4 linked regions of the Caenorhabditis elegans genome follow. Changing the gene in region 1 together with any one later gene gives a genetic interaction. Each region holds a gene or a part of one and is shown on either strand. Other genes may lie near its edges.

What was found.
Region 2: of ark-1 (region 1) and gpc-2, changing one enhances a phenotype caused by changing the other (phenotypic enhancement), as found in Caenorhabditis elegans (one large-scale study listed by BioGRID).
Region 3: of ark-1 (region 1) and nekl-2, changing one enhances a phenotype caused by changing the other (phenotypic enhancement), as found in Caenorhabditis elegans (one large-scale study listed by BioGRID).
Region 4: of ark-1 (region 1) and ham-3, changing one enhances a phenotype caused by changing the other (phenotypic enhancement), as found in Caenorhabditis elegans (one large-scale study listed by BioGRID).

What each region holds. Positions count from the first base shown.
Region 1 is NC_003282.8:12,627,965-12,632,975, forward strand, and holds the start of ark-1 (Ack-related non-receptor tyrosine kinase), read right to left. Parts: upstream 3,059-5,011; 5' UTR 3,003-3,058; coding exon 2,929-3,002; intron 2,817-2,928; coding exon 2,731-2,816; intron 2,305-2,730; coding exon 2,130-2,304; intron 1,511-2,129; coding exon 1,276-1,510; intron 716-1,275; coding exon 395-715; intron 1-394. UniProt on the Caenorhabditis elegans protein: Probable tyrosine protein kinase which plays a role in vulva development, probably by acting as a negative regulator of the let-23/EGFR and let-60/ras pathway. Involved in the negative regulation of germline development.
Region 2 is NC_003279.8:6,755,943-6,758,686, forward strand, and holds gpc-2 (G protein gamma domain-containing protein), read left to right. Parts: upstream 1-1,820; 5' UTR 1,821-1,825; coding exon 1,826-1,914; intron 1,915-1,965; coding exon 1,966-2,065; 3' UTR 2,066-2,236; downstream 2,237-2,744. Other genes in the region: hrpf-1 (RRM domain-containing protein), read right to left, coding at 1-109, 154-283, 326-404; calu-2 (EF-hand domain-containing protein), read right to left, coding at 2,296-2,545.
Region 3 is NC_003279.8:6,661,133-6,665,671, reverse strand, and holds nekl-2 (Serine/threonine-protein kinase nekl-2), read right to left. Parts: upstream 2,539-4,539; 5' UTR 2,467-2,538; coding exon 2,374-2,466; intron 2,198-2,373; coding exon 2,050-2,197; intron 2,003-2,049; coding exon 1,884-2,002; intron 1,839-1,883; coding exon 1,643-1,838; intron 1,599-1,642; coding exon 1,477-1,598; intron 1,386-1,476; coding exon 1,286-1,385; intron 1,240-1,285; coding exon 1,154-1,239; intron 795-1,153; coding exon 585-794; 3' UTR 512-584; downstream 1-511. Other genes in the region: ZC581.9 (Protein kinase domain-containing protein), read left to right, coding at 276-447; ZC581.7 (Tyrosine-protein kinase), read left to right, coding at 3,385-3,401, 3,450-3,525, 3,788-3,841, 3,889-3,969, 4,018-4,164, 4,217-4,539. UniProt on the Caenorhabditis elegans protein: Probable serine/threonine-protein kinase required for the completion of molting. May play a role in endocytosis in the hypodermis syncytium.
Region 4 is NC_003281.10:10,119,076-10,123,440, reverse strand, and holds ham-3 (SWI/SNF chromatin-remodeling accessory subunit 1), read right to left. Parts: upstream 2,661-4,365; 5' UTR 2,659-2,660; coding exon 2,605-2,658; intron 2,556-2,604; coding exon 2,424-2,555; intron 2,366-2,423; coding exon 2,114-2,365; intron 2,062-2,113; coding exon 1,530-2,061; intron 1,424-1,529; coding exon 1,123-1,423; intron 790-1,122; coding exon 720-789; 3' UTR 516-719; downstream 1-515. Other genes in the region: gtf-2H3 (General transcription factor IIH subunit 3), read left to right, coding at 3,293-3,394, 3,447-3,678, 3,747-4,066, 4,114-4,170, 4,220-4,365. UniProt on the Caenorhabditis elegans protein: Involved in transcriptional activation and repression of select genes by chromatin remodeling (alteration of DNA-nucleosome topology).

The sequences.
Region 1 (5,011 bases):
AAAATTTTAAAAATTCAGAACTTTTCAAAAATTAATTTAAAAATGTTAAAGAATTATGTTTTATAGATTTTTAGAAATATTATAAAAACGGTTTTTGTATGAATTTAAAAATTCTTATAACATTTCAATTTTAAATATTTTTTTAAAATAAAACTTTTCAAAAATACATTTTTTTAAAATTTTGTTTGAAATGTAATATTTGAAATAAAAAAAGAAAATTTTATTGGAATTTTTTGTTTCTTCGTTTTTAATATTTATTTTTGCGAATTATCGGAGTTTAGGCCGAAATTTTGTGAAATTTTCGAACAAAAAGGGGTCTGAAAATTGAATAATTGTTCAAAATTGGGGAAAAATTAAAATTTGGTAAATTTCAGCAAATGTTTTTTTGCAATACCTTTAAAAAATTAATACACTCCGGTGCACACCAAGCAATAGGAAGCTTAAGATTCGGTGTAAATTCACTTCGATAATAATCTTCACCAATTCCAAGAGATCTCGATAGTCCAAAATCTGATATTTTCACAAGTTTCGGTGAGAAAACGAGCACATTTCTTGCGGCAAGATCTCGATGAATGAGTCTTTGTAATTCAAGATATGACATTCCCATTGCAATTTGTTCAGCATAATCACATAAAACATGAACTGGAAAACTATCACGGAGAGCCGGTTTGTGAAGGCATTCCAGCAAAGATCCACATGTTGCGAGCTCCGAGACCTGCAAATTTTTTGTTATAATTTTTGAACTTTTAGATAATTCTGAAATGTTCAATTTTTTTCGAAAATTTATGATTTTTTATCATTAAAACTTTCTCACGAGGAGGAGAAGTGCGCAATTTTTGCTGTGAGTTTGACAGTTTCAGGCTAGAATACATCGTTCTGGACCATTTTTTCCGTTTTTTTTTCCTTTTTTTGATGAAAAATGCAAAAAATCAAGCTCTAGGGTTCTATAGAGATTTCTTATTAAAAACAATTTTTAAATACTAATTTTAATTTCAAAAGTCGCATAAAAAATTTCAATTTTTAAAATAATTTTCGGTATTTTTTTTTTCTGTAAAAATGGTCTTTGTTTGTCTTCGTTTAGGCATACGAGAATCTAATATTTATTCTGGGTTTTTCTAGCAAAATCGAAAATTGCATTAAAACTCTATTTTACGATATTTTTTCCATTGTTTTTTGAAATTTTTTTTCGGTTTTATGACAAAAAATTTGAATATACAAAAAATTCTAATATTACCAGATTTGTTCCGGCTTAGATTTTAATTTTTAAATCCTTACCAACATAATTTTTTTCGTATCAAGAACAACTCCATATAGTCTAACAACATGTTCATGTCTCATTCGTGTCATAATTGCAGCTTCTTGTAAAAATGATGATGACGTGGCAAGTAGTTTATCAGATCCAACACATTTTACGGCTACTTGAATGACGTCACTTCCTGCTGAATTCTTCCATCCTGCTTGCCAAACTGACCCGAATTCTCCTTGTCCCAACTCTTTGCAAAGCGTTATTCTGGAAAATTGTAACTTTAGTTTTCAATTAATTTTCTCGAAAAATTAAATCGAGCAATTTTAAAAGAGATTTTTCAATGTTGAAAAAATAATATGATGTAATGTCAAATTTGCAAACACAGTTTTCTTCGATTTTGCAAAATCTCGGAAAGTCGAAACCTCTGTACTTTTTTCTGAAAACAAGGAATTTTTAAATAAATAGTTTGTTTTCTAGGAAACTTGAATTAAAATTTAAAACCTAAAAATAAATAAAATGCAAATTTGCTTGGAAATTTCCGATTTTTCTGATTTTCAATAACGAAAATCAGATTTTTTAAATTTTAGATATTTTTCTTCACTTTTTTGTAGATAACTTATATTTTTATGTGGTGGTTATTCTTGCGAAGAGGAATAAAATTTGCTAAAAATTTTTTATTTTTTAATCTTCGAAAAAAAAAAATTATTTCTTTTGTTTTTTTTTCTGAAAATACCATACTTTTAAAATTAATTTTCTTTCGATTTTTTCAAATTTTTCATTCTGAAAAAATGATCTTTTGCCAAAACATCTTTTTTTCTGGAGTTTTTAAAAAAATTTTTTTTAATTTTCCATTTTGCTCCACGTTTTTCCCAGAAATGCTCACTTTTCAATTGGAATTACATGATGATCATTATCATCTTGATTTGCAACTGAATTCGAAGTTTTTCGATCCAAACTTTCCGCCCTTTTGAATGCTTTTTTCACTTTTCCAAAAATTCCAGACGGAAACATTTTTGTATATTCTTTTCGGAGGCGCTTTTGCTCCGGGCGGCTCATTCCTGAAAAATGTAAGTTTATTTTTCGGATTTTTTTCTGAAATATAATTCTTAATTTCCGATCAATTTTTAATTTAATTTCAGAGAAAAATAAACTAATTTTAAAAAATCTCAAATTAAAAAAAAGAAAACTAAAATAAATGGCCACAAAATGAGCAGTCATACGATTGAAAAATGAGAAAAATAAACACTTGTTTCGATTGAATCGTTGTGTAAATATTGATGGTATTTAGAGGCAGAAAGTAGAAAAAAAAAACAAAACAAATTTAATTATTTTTTGTCGAATATTATTTTTAGAATTTTAAAGAAGTTATTCTGGTTTTTTTTCAGAGATTATTGTTCTATTTTTGAGTGGAAAACTAACAAAACTGTGATTTTTTCGGTATTTTTAAAATAATTATTCATTGAGATTAAAAAAAAAATCCTCACCAACAGACAACAAATCGACTTCTTCGACATATTGTAAATCGGCAGCATTTCGTAGTTTTAGTTTTCGACGGAGATCTGATTCGTAGCTGAAAATTTTATTTTTTAATTACTTGAATCTCGGTTTTTACGCAGAAATTGTTAATTTTTCTTCTGAAAACCCCATTTTTCAGCAAATAATCTTAATTTTCCAGCTCTTACCCTGATAAATCGGCTGCTTGAAGCAGTTTATTGAGCGTCGCATCAGCGGTACCCGCCGTCGGCTCCTCTCGCATTCTTCGAATATTTTTCTTTTTTCGTTGTTTCTACCCCCGGTTGACGTTTGTTTTGCCTGCAATTTTTAGAATTTACAGTCAATTTTACACAATTTAAACGGAAAAATAACAGAATTGAAAGGCGTGGGAGGATGTGTTGACACGTGTTCAGAAAATGAAGAAAAAACAGTTTAAAATAGCAAATACCGTACCCGCCAGTTCTCGAAACGATTTCACGTATTTTAAAGTTTATGCTATGCGCCTTTAAGGAGTACAGTGTTTGATACTTCTGAAATTGCTAGTTTTTTTGAAAACTAATAAATAATTAAGAAAATGGAGCAATTTTTCACTGAAAAATCAATTTCAAAAAAATTAAAAAATTTGAGTTTCAACAAAAATCAATGAAACATTTCTTTGGAAAAAAGATGTTCAAAAAAAGATATTGGATATACATTTCTACATGCAAAGAGAGGAGACCCAGGAACATTGAACAAAAAAAACTTTTGGTCACTCTCACTTCCACTCTCTGCATGTTTAGAATTGCGTGCAATGAACCGGGCAAAAATTCATTTATTTCGACAAATTCGTGTTTGTGCGTGCTTCCCTTTATTTTTCAATTCATTTCCAATACACATTTATGTAGTGTTGAAAACTTACTAAATATGGAAGTTTGTTGCAATAGGAGAATTCAGTATTTTTCGAAAATAGAAATTAAAAAAAAATAGAAAATATTTAAGGCATTTACAGCGAAATACTGCGGAATGTAAATATATTGACGATTCACATTTTTCTGTTAAAAAAATGTATCGAAAAAGTATCGTATTTTATGTTTTTAAAGGCGCACGCAATTCTCCGACTGGGTCTCGCCACGAGAAACAAACGTGTATGGTACAAATTTAGATTTTTCTTTGAAAATTTTCTTGCAATTTCTGCTATTTAGTATTCTCAGCATTTCGAATGATAATCATGAAAATAAATAAAAAATATAAAAATCGGAAAGCGCTACCATAAAATTTTCTAAAATGCTTTCAAATAAAAAACCCGCAAAAACCATTAACTAGACTGATACTATTCTGAATTCGAATTAAACTAGAAAGACGGGAAGTTGAAAAAAAATTTCGAAAAGAATTTATCGCCGCATGGTTCATTAAACAATATCGTAACTTCTCAATTTTCTGAAAACTGTAGTCGAAGGCGCACGGATTTAGCCAGATGGGTCTCGCGGCGAATAAAGTTTTTGGTAGATTCAATTTTTTTCTTTAATTAATTAAACTTAAAATTGTGATAATAACACAACATACATTGATTTTTAAAATATGGATGTGCTCCAAAAGTGCTTCAATAAGTGATATTTATTACCCATTGTTTTTTTTGCGGCGAGACCCATCCGGAAAATTACGTGCGCCTTTAAGCAATATTTTCAGAAAAATGCGAAAGGATTAAAGCATACTACATGGAAACGTAAAAAACAAAGAAAAACTCTAATATTGCATATATCCCGAGAACAATCGAATAAAAAAAGGAGCTCCATTCCGAAAAAATGAAGGAGAAAACGGGAAAGACCATCAATCAAATTGGATGTGGAAACACATGGAGAAGAAAGAAAAAAAAAGAAAAAAGGGCGAATATCTTGTAATAGTAGTACTGGTGGTTGTAGTTGAAGTACACTTTGAAATAGTGTATGACTTCAAGCGAACATGAGGCGCAGACGGTTAGATACAATTAGCTAATGAATGTAAAGTTTCTTTTGCTTTATTGTTACGGAGATTCTAAAGTTTTTGAATTTTTTGCAAGGTTTTAAAAAGGCGCACGAATTCATTCGGATAGGTCTTGCCACGAGATGAAAGAAAAGTTTTGAAAAATCATTTTTCTAAAAAAAATCATAGATGAAATACTGAAAAGAAAATTTCAGAAAAAACTGCACACAAAATTTCGAATAGCGTAACACTGCGAAGCCAGGATATGTTTTTTTTTAATTCTTTTTTATATGAAAATTCAATTTTTCCCAATTTTCAGTTTTTTTTTTCAAT
Region 2 (2,744 bases), on another chromosome or scaffold:
TGGAGGTGCTCCGCGTGAACGATAATGGTCACGATCTCCACGATCTCCACGTTCACCTCGATCTCCACGCCTTGTTGGTGCTCCACCCGCAGGAAAAACCTCGATGTATCTGCAAACAGTTAATTCGTTAAAAGAAATATTTGAAAGTCAAACCTGCTTCCCAAGTGCTCTCGGTCTTTTTTCAAAGCATTGTTGTAGTCTTCTTCATTGGTAAAAACCACTTTCGCATCACCGCTGGTTCGACCGTTTCTCCTTGGAATTTCCAAGCTTTCGATTCCATTATCTTGAAGAAGATTTTTTTATAACGATTTAAAACACCACTCACTTCCGAAAAAATCTCTTAGCTCCTGTTCAGTGGCCTCCCATGGTAATCCACGACATTGAACTTCATACGCAGTAGACATTTCTGAAAGACAAAAACGGATTTTTCTGATTCTGTTCTTTTTTATCCGTCGAGATCAAATATACGTTTTTGTGGCAAAAATTACAAAAAACTAATACAATTTTCACATAAAAACCGAAAGAAAACAAAGTAACAAAACAAAAAATATTTTTCGATTTAAACTCTCGGCCGTGCATTTGCGCGTAGCGTCCGTTGCAGTGGTCGCAAACACCGATTGTTTACCGTACTACGAACAATAAATGATGCATTTTAATATTAATTTTTCTTTTGTTTCGAGGCTCTATGTACCACCGTTTTCTTATTCTTTTACAATGTATTTTTGAACAAAATTTTCACTTATTTTCTCATCTTCCATTAAATGCAAACAGTGAGTTTATTTGGTCTGAAAATGCTTTGCATCTCCAACGAGTAAGAAAAGCTGTTCTCTGTCTAGCAGCATCTTACAATTGTAAAACTGATGGTTGGCTATTTAAATGAAGTTTTAATTTTTTGGGCGATGAAAGTCTCATTTTGTTTTAGAACTGCAGGATATATTCACGGTTTTTCAAAGATCTGTCAATTGACTTGTCGATAACGAAAAAAATCTAAAATGCTGGCTTAATAATTTAATTTCTCACAGTGAACTTTAATATACATAAATCTTTTTCCGAATATAGTGCCATGATTTTCTGTCTGTCCTTTGTATATAAGCTCCACACTTTGAAAATATAACACCAATTAATGTCTTCATTCCCCTCCATTTCCGTCATCTTCCATATATTCTCACTTCAATTTCCATGTCTTCTTCGTCTTCTCAATTTTCCTTCGTAGGGCTTGTGTGTGAGGTTGTCTCGCGTAAATGTATGCGCCAGAGCGAGAGTGTGTGTGCCAATCGAAACAGCAGCAGCAGCACTCTGCCCTCTACAATGTCTCCATTTTCACTACACTCTTTCAAGTATTGATTTTCAAATGCGAAGCACAAAGCGAGGAGGAGCGCAGAGAAAAGACTGGCAGGGTCCCGCTGGTGCTCACTTCTTCTCTCATTTCTGTCTTTGCTCTGCTCTGCTACTCCTTTTATAGTACTCATTTTTTCCAATTCGACTGATATTGTCAATGTATAGTCAGAAACTTCGGTTTTCAATTGAATAAAATCCATGATTCGACTGTTTTTCAGTTAATTCAACCTAATTTAAACCTTTGCTTTTACCAAAAACCTCTTTTTTTCAAGTTAAATAATGTCAGTCGAACTTATTTATAGGCCAATTTTGAATGTTCTTAACAAGTTTAATTTATAACGTACACTTGCAACTACCCGTTTCTCATAACTTTCTGAATACTATTCGTTCTCCATGGTATTCGCAATAATTCGTATAATTTGGCTTTCAAATACTCTTTTTCAAACGATTCTCATTTCCGATTCAATAAAGAAATGTTTCAGACAAGATGGATAAATCTGACATGCAACGAACCGTCGACTCGCTTCGCAGCCAGCTCAATATTGAGCGTACTCCGATCACTGTTTCGGCAGCCGAGTAAGTTAACGAGATCAGAATGCCCAACTTTCAAAATTTTGTTTCTTTCAGACTTCGTCGCTTCACCGAAAGCCAAGAAGATCCACTTGTGAACCCAATCGACAAGAAGGTTAACCCATGGGCTGAGAAGAGCAAGTGCAGCATGCTCTAAATCATTTATTCATCCACCATCGCTTTCAAACCTCACTTTTGTCATCCATAATACTAATCCAAACGCCGATTTTGTCTTTACTATTCGTCCTATTTATATGATCCAATTTTCGCATTCTTCCAATTTTTTGTAAAATGAAAGCAAACTACTGTGAATAAACTATTCAGATATATACAATTGTAAATAATTTATCATTTGTTCAATTAACTTCGATTCAGAGATCTACATAATTACAACTCGTCATGAGAATAATATGGGTGCAGATGATCGGCTTCTTGAGCAGCTTCAGTTTTGGCAAAAAGAGCATGATGCTTCACAATTTCTTCATAAGACAATTGTCCATCTTTATCATCATCTGAATTTGTTAGAAGACTTTCAGCTTCATAAGATCCAGCTGTTGTTCCATCAACGAGAAGCCAATCGGTCAGCTCGTCGCCGGCCAGTTTTCCGTCTTTGTTTTTGTCATAAACTGTACGGAATCTAAAAATGGACACAAATTAGGAAAAAAAAAATTGAACGACTTTTCTCCGAAGCAGAATAGTTTAGAAATATATTATTTTAAAATATATTTTAAATAAATATTGATTCGAAAGTATTTATATATTGAAAAATGAGTTAGCCTATTTATAAAACCGTATTATTTCAAATAATTGTATTTTCTAAAGTTCTAAATTTTCTT
Region 3 (4,539 bases), on another chromosome or scaffold:
AGTTTGCCTAAAAGCTAAAATGCCTAATTGTTGTTAAGAAGTTGCAAGAGTATGCTATGAAGTTAGGCCGTTTTGCCGAGTGGGTGGCTTTGAGGAGTACTGTAACTCTCAACTCCTTGTTGTTACGGTTTTTGCTACAATAATACCATGGTTATCCATTTCTCATAGGGACCTTAAAAAGGCAATTGCCTGTCAACTTGAATAAAACATACATGTACCGTAGGTTTAGGGCAAAAAACTTGCACTACATATGAATTAAAATCCAAATATTTCAGTTTCAAACAGAGGAATGCGCGCGCCTCAGAAAGACGAGCCCGAACCCGATCTCCGAATGCTGAACTGGATCCTCAACGTGAACAACCACCTGCTCGACCAAACTCATTTACAAATCTCGGCCACAACATTGTTCTCACCTACCGTAATCTTTTGTACAAAGATCATACCTAGCATACTTTGTTTTGTCCACTTTCTCATTTCCCGTACAGTAACATTTGTGATATTTTGCCCACTTCCGAATGATTGGTTTTTATGTGAAAAAATAACTTCAATTTTAATTTTAAAGAAACAAACAATTAATACAGGAGTTAATACTTTGAATGCACTTGACTTCTTGATTGTGTTCTCTGATTTGATGTTCTTCCACTTGAAAAGAATCCAGAATCAATATGAGATGGCATTGGTGTTAATTGTGTCAAATGGGTAGTTGGAGCATTTGATGATAAAGAATACGGACGAAGTGTTGATTGTGTTGGATACGTTCGAAGTCGACTGCTCAATGAAGCTGATGGCTTTCTCTGAAAAAAATAAAATTCATGACAAGTAATGAACATCATTTCAAAGTACGGCTGAAAAAAATCCGGATTCTGTGCGATCAAGTGATCATTTTTGATGTGTTACAGAGGTTTTTCAATAATTTTTTGGTTTTCCAGCACTATTTCAGAATGTAATTTATCTGGTATTTAATTAAGAAGATTAGAACAAAAGCATGCTTTTATATTTTCCGCTGTTTGACCTACAGAACTCGCTAGGAATTTATTTTTACTAGCATGACGTCGATGGTTTCTTTAAAACTGAATTATGATTCCCTGTTAAGGCCAGATAGTAAACATGACATTTTTCTCTAAATCAAAACACTAATACAATTAAAAATTACCTTATCCGTCGGTGGAGGTTCGATTCTTCCCAAATCGCAATGAATTGATATCAAATAGGGAAGAACAAGTGGATCGGAAAGCAGCTCTGAAAATTAATCGATTACATTTCCAAGTGTGGAAATTTTTTTTACGTGATACGTCCGGTCTCTTATCCGTGTGTGTTTTAAGTAAGTTTTCCACTAACATCTTCACATCGTTTGATACGTGATCTCCCAACGGGTTTTGCTTTGACTGGAAATTGAGTGATACATGATTAAATTTAAAAATTTAACATCAGGGAACAATGCAAGGGTTTTGGGACCTATCCTTTTTTGGTACATACCCGGGTGATTTTCATTACAATGGCTGGTAAATTTTCGCCGTCAAATGCTCTTTCAAGCTGAAGAAGCTCATACAAAACACATCCTAAAGACCACATGTCACTTTTTTGATTGTACGGGCGACCTGAATATTATATTTTCATGATTATTAAAATGAAATTGACATACTTTCACAAATTTCAGGGCTTAAATAGTTTGGAGTTCCAATAACAGTCGACGCTGCAGATTTCGTTCCAAGCTCCTTTGAAATTCCAAAATCCGATAGCTTCAGAACAGTCTTTCGGCGATTCATAAGAATGTTTTGAGGCTTAAGGTCACGATGAACGATATTTTTCTGGTGCATATGATTGAGTGCAATAAGAATCTTCAAAAATATTTGTTTCAGTAAAAAGTTAAGATGATAACTAACCTGTGTAAAATAATCTAAAACAGTTTTTTCGGGAAAATATTCTCTCATGTTTGAATCTTTAATCGCTCTCTGATCATTTATTAATCTCTCTAATGTTCCTCCTTCCGCGTACTGCATAACTGAACATATCGAATTTTAATTCAATTTTAAAATTAAATTTACTTACCAATTCCAAGTTGATTATCCATAATAAAAGAATCAATATACCCGATTATTAATGGATGTTGAACTTTTTTCAACAAATTTACTTCACTCTGAATGCTATTTTCCTCTTTTTCAGTCATTCCGTGAGTATTGATGAGTTTTATAATTACCTGAAAAATTAAATTATAAAGTTAGTAGATTATAACACAGTACTGCTATTTGAAAAAAAAACTGATTTTCCAATAAAATAAGTATTTCTAAAAATTGATTATTTTCCCTAAATTAAACCATACCAGGCTTCAAATGTAAAAGAGTCCAACGAAACTATTACAATTGTCTGACTAACCTTTTGATGTGATGCATCATTTTTACCGCGACACAGCCAACAAACTCCAAAAGCACCACGTCCGACGACACGCACTTTTTCATAATTGTCCATTTGAAAATAATATTTGAATAGATAGGATTCAAAACTATAAATTCTAGAAAAATGTGAAGACGTGACTAATCAGTGAAAAATAATCAATAACCGACGGTGTTCTTCTTCTGCGTCTCTCTGAAAGAACAGGTTTATTATCAAAGGGATTGGGGAAGTCATTGAAAAATGCCGCGCATTTTTTATATATCACTTGTCTCTTTGACAGATCCTAGTGGTTTTTCATGTGATAAGTTTAACCTGTAAAACGAACACACGAACACTGTTCGCTTTATTTTGGTTAACAATTTCAACGAAACGGCAAGAAATCAATCAAACAAATCAATTAATGTTTCTCTTCGAAGACATATTCTCTAAATTATAAAAGATTGTTTGACCTCAAAAAAATGGCATAAAAAACTCAATTCTAGAGAAATAATAGAAAACTTTGGCCACCTGGAGCAATGGATACACAGATAGAACGGCTATTTTTAATTGGCAGAAAGTTGGCAGACCGCCAGCAGTTAGTTGGGGGGACAAATATATAGCACCAGAGGTGTGCCATCTGCCATTTAACTGCAAATAAACTGCCGTTTATCTGCTTACACCACACAAATTTAAGCCTTTTTAAAAGTCATGTTGGCTATTATTATGCAGTATTCTGGTTTATTTCTAGGCAAAATTGCAGTTTTTGTAGGTAAAAACAAGCAGTCTTGGATACAAAATGATACATAAAAAATTTTTCATGCACTGACCAATTGAAAATTAGACTTGCAGGCAATACTAATAAATAGGAAAAAAAGAATTCTTTGTTTGAAAAATTGATTTTAATTTTAATAAAATGATGACAACGTGAACTCATTCCCTCCCCCCTCCACCTTTCAATAAAAAGGTTTTGAACTTCGCTCCAAGTTCAGTTCTTAGTTTTTATCCAACGCGGAAATGGCTAACAAAGAAAAGTGAGTTGAATTTAAATGCGGTTGTTGTTAAAATCTTCATGAATTCAGGATTCTTGAAGAGGACATTAACCTACCGTATTATCATGGTGCACTCATGAACCAGGATGCTGATCAGCTTCTAGTTGTAAGTGACAATTTAGAGGGCGCTTTATCCGTGGATCTTATGTCATTTCGTATCCACTGTACACATATTGACTCAATCAGTGACCACAATGGACCTATCGCGAGCACGCGCTCAACACAAACGTAACGTGATGAGCGTCTACAGCGATCTTACAAGGGTCCTGGTGAACACAATAACTGTCTAGATGGATTTCCAGATGGAATTGGTTTCAAATTTGAAGAACGTTGGATTTTTCAACATAAACGATTTTAATTTTTTTCAGAATGACGGTGACTACATGATTGTTGTAAAAATGAATCAGGAATTGAACAAAATGGTTTGCCAATTTAGTTTAAATAATCTTCAAAAGTGAATTTATTTCAGCAACTCTACTTGGCTGTTCGTTTGAAAAAAGGAATACGTCGTTTCGAAATCAAACGGAATCCGACTTCTGCAAAGATTGGGGTATGCATGCACCGTACTTCTAACTAACAAATTTAATATTGTTTTCAGGGAAAATCAGCTCCTAATATTGGGAAGCTGGTTGACTCAATGCAAAAAGAAACTATGGAAATCAAAGGAGAACGGGTGATCTTGAAACGTGCGATTCCCAAGGGAAAGTTCCAATTAATGCATAAAGATGTGGACTTTAAAAAGAAGGTATTAATTATTAATGAAAGAGGCTTCAATACCTGAAAACCTTAATTTTCAGCTTGGTAGTGGAGCCTACGGAACCGTCTATCTTGGCCGTCTCACCAAGAACAATACCAAAATTGCTGTAAAAAAACTTGACACTGAAGGAAACGACGAAGAATCATTAGCCGAGATGATGAAGGAAGCGAGAGTTATGCAACTCTATGACCATCCAAATATTGTAAAGTTCTATGGATACATTGTTGATGATATTCCATACTTGCTGGTTCTGGAGCTTTGTAACGGTGGATCGGTAGAGGATAAACTAGTGGAAAAGGGAGCCAAGTTGAGCACAAAGACAAGGATCATGTACACTTATCACGCTGCATGTGGGATAGAGTA
Region 4 (4,365 bases), on another chromosome or scaffold:
GGGCCTCAATTAACACACTCCGCCTCCAAAAAGTTGGTTAGGTATATACAAGGTAAAAGTTTAAAATTTTTAAAAAATCAATTTCGGCTTAAAAATGATTTGAAAAAAACAACGGAATACATTGCAAAAAAGACGAAAAAAATAAAAGGCAGGTTTTTTTGTAATGTATTCCGTTGTTTTTTTCAAATCATTTTTAAGCCGAAATTGATTTTTTAAAAATTTTAAACATGATCTCGACGTAAAAATCATTGAAAATAACCGAAAACAGCAAAAAAAAAAAACAAAAAACCGGAAAATTAATTGAAAACGTTTGAATGTACGATTTTTTCACCAAAAACCTAACGAGACCTAACGTTTTGAGGCGGAGCCCGCGTGCCCATGGAGCGCACTTGTGCTTCGATTTCAAAAGGCGCGTTTTTTCCTATAATTTACATATTACACACATGTGGTAAAAAAGAAAATAATAAATAAATTGGATAAATAAACCACTGTTTAAATTTTCGAGCATAAGCTTAAAATGCATATAATTTATCAATTAAAATTTGGTTTGGAGTGGAGAGAAAAATAATTATATAATTAGTGAAGAATTGAGATAAAACGTAATTAGATTCGATAAAAAGAGAATTTTTGAAAATGTTGTTGAGATCCCAGTTTACAGGTCGGCAGAGGGAGAAGGAAGAGAGAAAAAATCGATATTATACGGAAAGAGATATAATTTATTAATTGTTGCGGATTCCGAGACTTTGCTCCAGCTCGGCTCGTTTTTGTTGGATTTTCTGATACATGTACCTGGAAAATACAGAATTTTGGATATAAAAATGATAAATTATTAGTCATTTGTGAATTTTTTTGATATTTTTTTCGCCAAAAATACGGAGAAATTTAGAAAAATTGTGCAGCCTTAAGGAGTACTGTAACTGCAATTCATCGTTTTGGAATTTTTCCTCGGTTCTTTAAAAAATTTTTTATTTATTTTAAAACTATAAACAAATGTTGACAAATCGCTGAAAATTCCGCAAAAACGAGGAAATTTTCGGCAATTTTAAACATTTTTAGGTTTCTATTGTTAAATTTGAGTTTTTTCTATAAATAAATATATTTTCAATTAGCTTATGAACATACCGTGATACACCTTCATCTGTATCAGTTGTACTGTACGTTGTCGCATAACGATCGGATTCTCCATCACCACTTGATTCTGTTAAAGTCTTCAAGTCAGAATTCTGGCTTACAACCCATTTCTTGATGAATCCACTGGGCTCGTTCGAGAAACGAAGGAAGAAATCACGACGCAGCTTCATCTCGTTTATTTGATCTACCAAGTCGAATATTTTTTGATCAAGTAGTTGAATGTCGTTCGCATTTGTTTGATTGTGAACGAAATTTGCCATTTGTTGTTTGACTGGATCCTCGAGCTCGACATCTGAAGAAAAAATGAGAAAGAGATTTTTACAGGAAAAATTGAAAAACTAAAACATTTTCAAACTTCCGGTCTTAAAAAATCTAGAATTAATTTATAAAGTTCTTACCAATATCATAACAAGCAGAAGTTTTATCTTGACCATCATCAGGCCGCTGAATAATATGATTCAAGACTAAAGGATCAGGCTGTTGCAAGAGTTGATGAAGTCTTTGAGGAATCTCCATAAATCTCATCTTGCTCACACCAAAACATTGCTCCAAGAAAAGATCATTATTGATTGTATCACGATCCTGTGGATCTTGAAGCTTGTGAGTTTTGATGTACTGCCACAGGGCTTCAATAATTCTCGGACGAGTTTCTGCAGCAATTCCGAGAACTTTTGCAAGTCTCGGATGAAGTTTAAACTTCATTGGCTGATAATCGAGTAGAAGAAGGATTGTGCATTTAACGGGACGATCTCCGGGGCGCTTCACTTGAAATCCGTCAGTTTCATTGGTTTGTGGAGTACGGTGCCACTCAACGAGATGGTTGTCTGGGCCATATATATCTTTATCCAGCTCAATAACTAGGCTTTTGAAAAATGAACTGAATTTCCGTTTTGGAGCTGGACGGGGATTTGCTCCAACTGTGGGATGTTGCTGTAACAGAAAAAACCAATTAATTTTAATGTGTTAACTCAATATGTCCTACCATATCATCTAAAAGTCGTCCTTCAACACGTAATTCCCACATAGGAACAGATGCATCGTCGCCTTCCTTCTCTGGTTCTTTTCCAGCTATAAATGTGTGTGATATGTATATACGAAGACGTTTCTTGATTTTTTGGGGTCTTTTCAGAGCTTCTTGAACATCAATCTTCTTTCTTGTAATTGTTGAATCAAGCTTCTGCTCAAATGCTAACAAGTCCATATAGGCTTGTGATTCGGGAACCAGTTCGCGAACCTGAAATTATTTTATTATTTTTTTAAAGGAAAATTCGAAAGTTTTCAAGTATATTTACCTTTGGTTGAATTAATTTATCGGCATATCGCTTTTTCTTTTTCGGAGGCTGTGGGCCCCGGTTTCCCTGTATTTGAGCGGTTTGTCCAGGCAACGGCGCGTTAATCGGCCGACGTACTTGCTGTGGTGTTGCCTGTAAATCAAAAAGGTATTTTTAAAAGAAAAACGATTTAAAAGTTTACCGGATGGTTGAATCTTGGCCCCTGCGGAACTGGTGGCCGCGCTTGAGTTTGCATTCCTGAAAAATATGAAGATTTTTTCAAAACAAATAGCCAGAAAGATAAAAATAATAAGTTATTTGTCTTAAAACATGTTTAAACACAAGAAAAATGAAGCGAGAAATTATTCAAAAATGAGAGAAAGTCGATACGAATACGGTACTATTTTAAAGGCGCATGCAGCTTTTGTTGAAATCGTGACGAGACCCGCACCGCATCGGGACAACTTACCCTTTAATGTGTGTTTCTATTCTTTTTTTTCTTTTTTTCAAATTTAATTCGAGTTGTTTTCCTTTTTAGAATCAATATTTTTCTTAATAATAATTAATTAATTTTAAAATAATGAATTTCTCTATTCTTGAAGTGAAAAATAATTAATTATTAAGGATACGACAACATTTAATAGTATTTTTTCTCAATTTAAAGGGAAAAAAAAATTAAAAATCCTAATAATTGTTAGATGTGCAGCCAGAAAGAGCTAGAGGAGCACACGGAGCGGTGTGAGTGTTCATTATCGATTTTCTCTGCCCTGCAAGGCCGCAATGTTCGTTTTCTAGGCCAGCATTTATTTAACGTTTCCAAATGTCTGACGATTTCGTAAATTAATGTCAATTATCCAAGTATAAATGAAATAATTTTTAAATAATTCCAGATGAGCACACTATCGGTCTTAATCGAAACATCATCTTGCTCATGGGGAATGCTAGCAAGTGCACACGGTGATCGAACAATTGGAATTATTCTACGAGCAATCGTATGTTTGATTTGATTCCGCTAAAAGATTTCATCAAAAATTTTATTTTTAGGTATCATTCTGCAATGCTCATCTAGGACAATCTGCAAATAATCAGCTTCTAGTTTTTGCATACGGACGAAATGTGGATAACAAAATGATATATTCTTCTACAAGATGTGAAGATCGGAATGCTTCGTTTCTTGTTGTGAAGCGTTTGCGGGAACTATTGAGTAGTGATGCATTAACTAATGATGCAACTATTGGAGCACCTCTAGGACCTGCCTTGGCTCATGCTTTTTGCCGTGAGTTGGAGGAACTTCCAATTAACAAAAAAATATATAAAAACGGAAGCTATATTTCGACATTTCAGATATGAAAAAAGACAGCCGAGTAGTAACTGCTGATCCATGTGATGATTCTCTTGGACCTCAGACTACATCAGAACAATCGGAAACCGCATCTGAAAAGGCTACGAATAGAGCAGTAGTGATATCAATTACTCCTATCATGGGAAGCGAACACGGATCGTTAATGAATTTGTTCTTCTCTGCTGCAAAACAGTCAATCTGCGTTGATGTTGTATCGATGGGAGATGATTTTACTGGTGGAATCCTTCAACAGGCAGCAGATATTACTGGCGGATCTTTTCTACATGCCAAAAAACCACAGACTTTATTGAAAATTTTAATGGTAAGTTTCACAGATTTTTGATCTTCATATTAATTATTTGATTCCAGACTAATATGCTAACCGATCCAACTCACCGTGCAGTATTCTCGAAGCTTTCTCATAATGTAAGCCAAAACCAACGACTGGAACCAACTCATAGTTTATAATTTTCAGTCAGTCGATTATCGAGCATCCTGTGCGTGTCATCATCAGCTTGTATCCTCCGGTTGGGTGTGCTCCATCTGTCTTTCAGTCCTCTGCCAATATACTCCAATATGCAAAGTTTGCAAAGCAGCGTTCACGATTGCCAATCTTCCAAT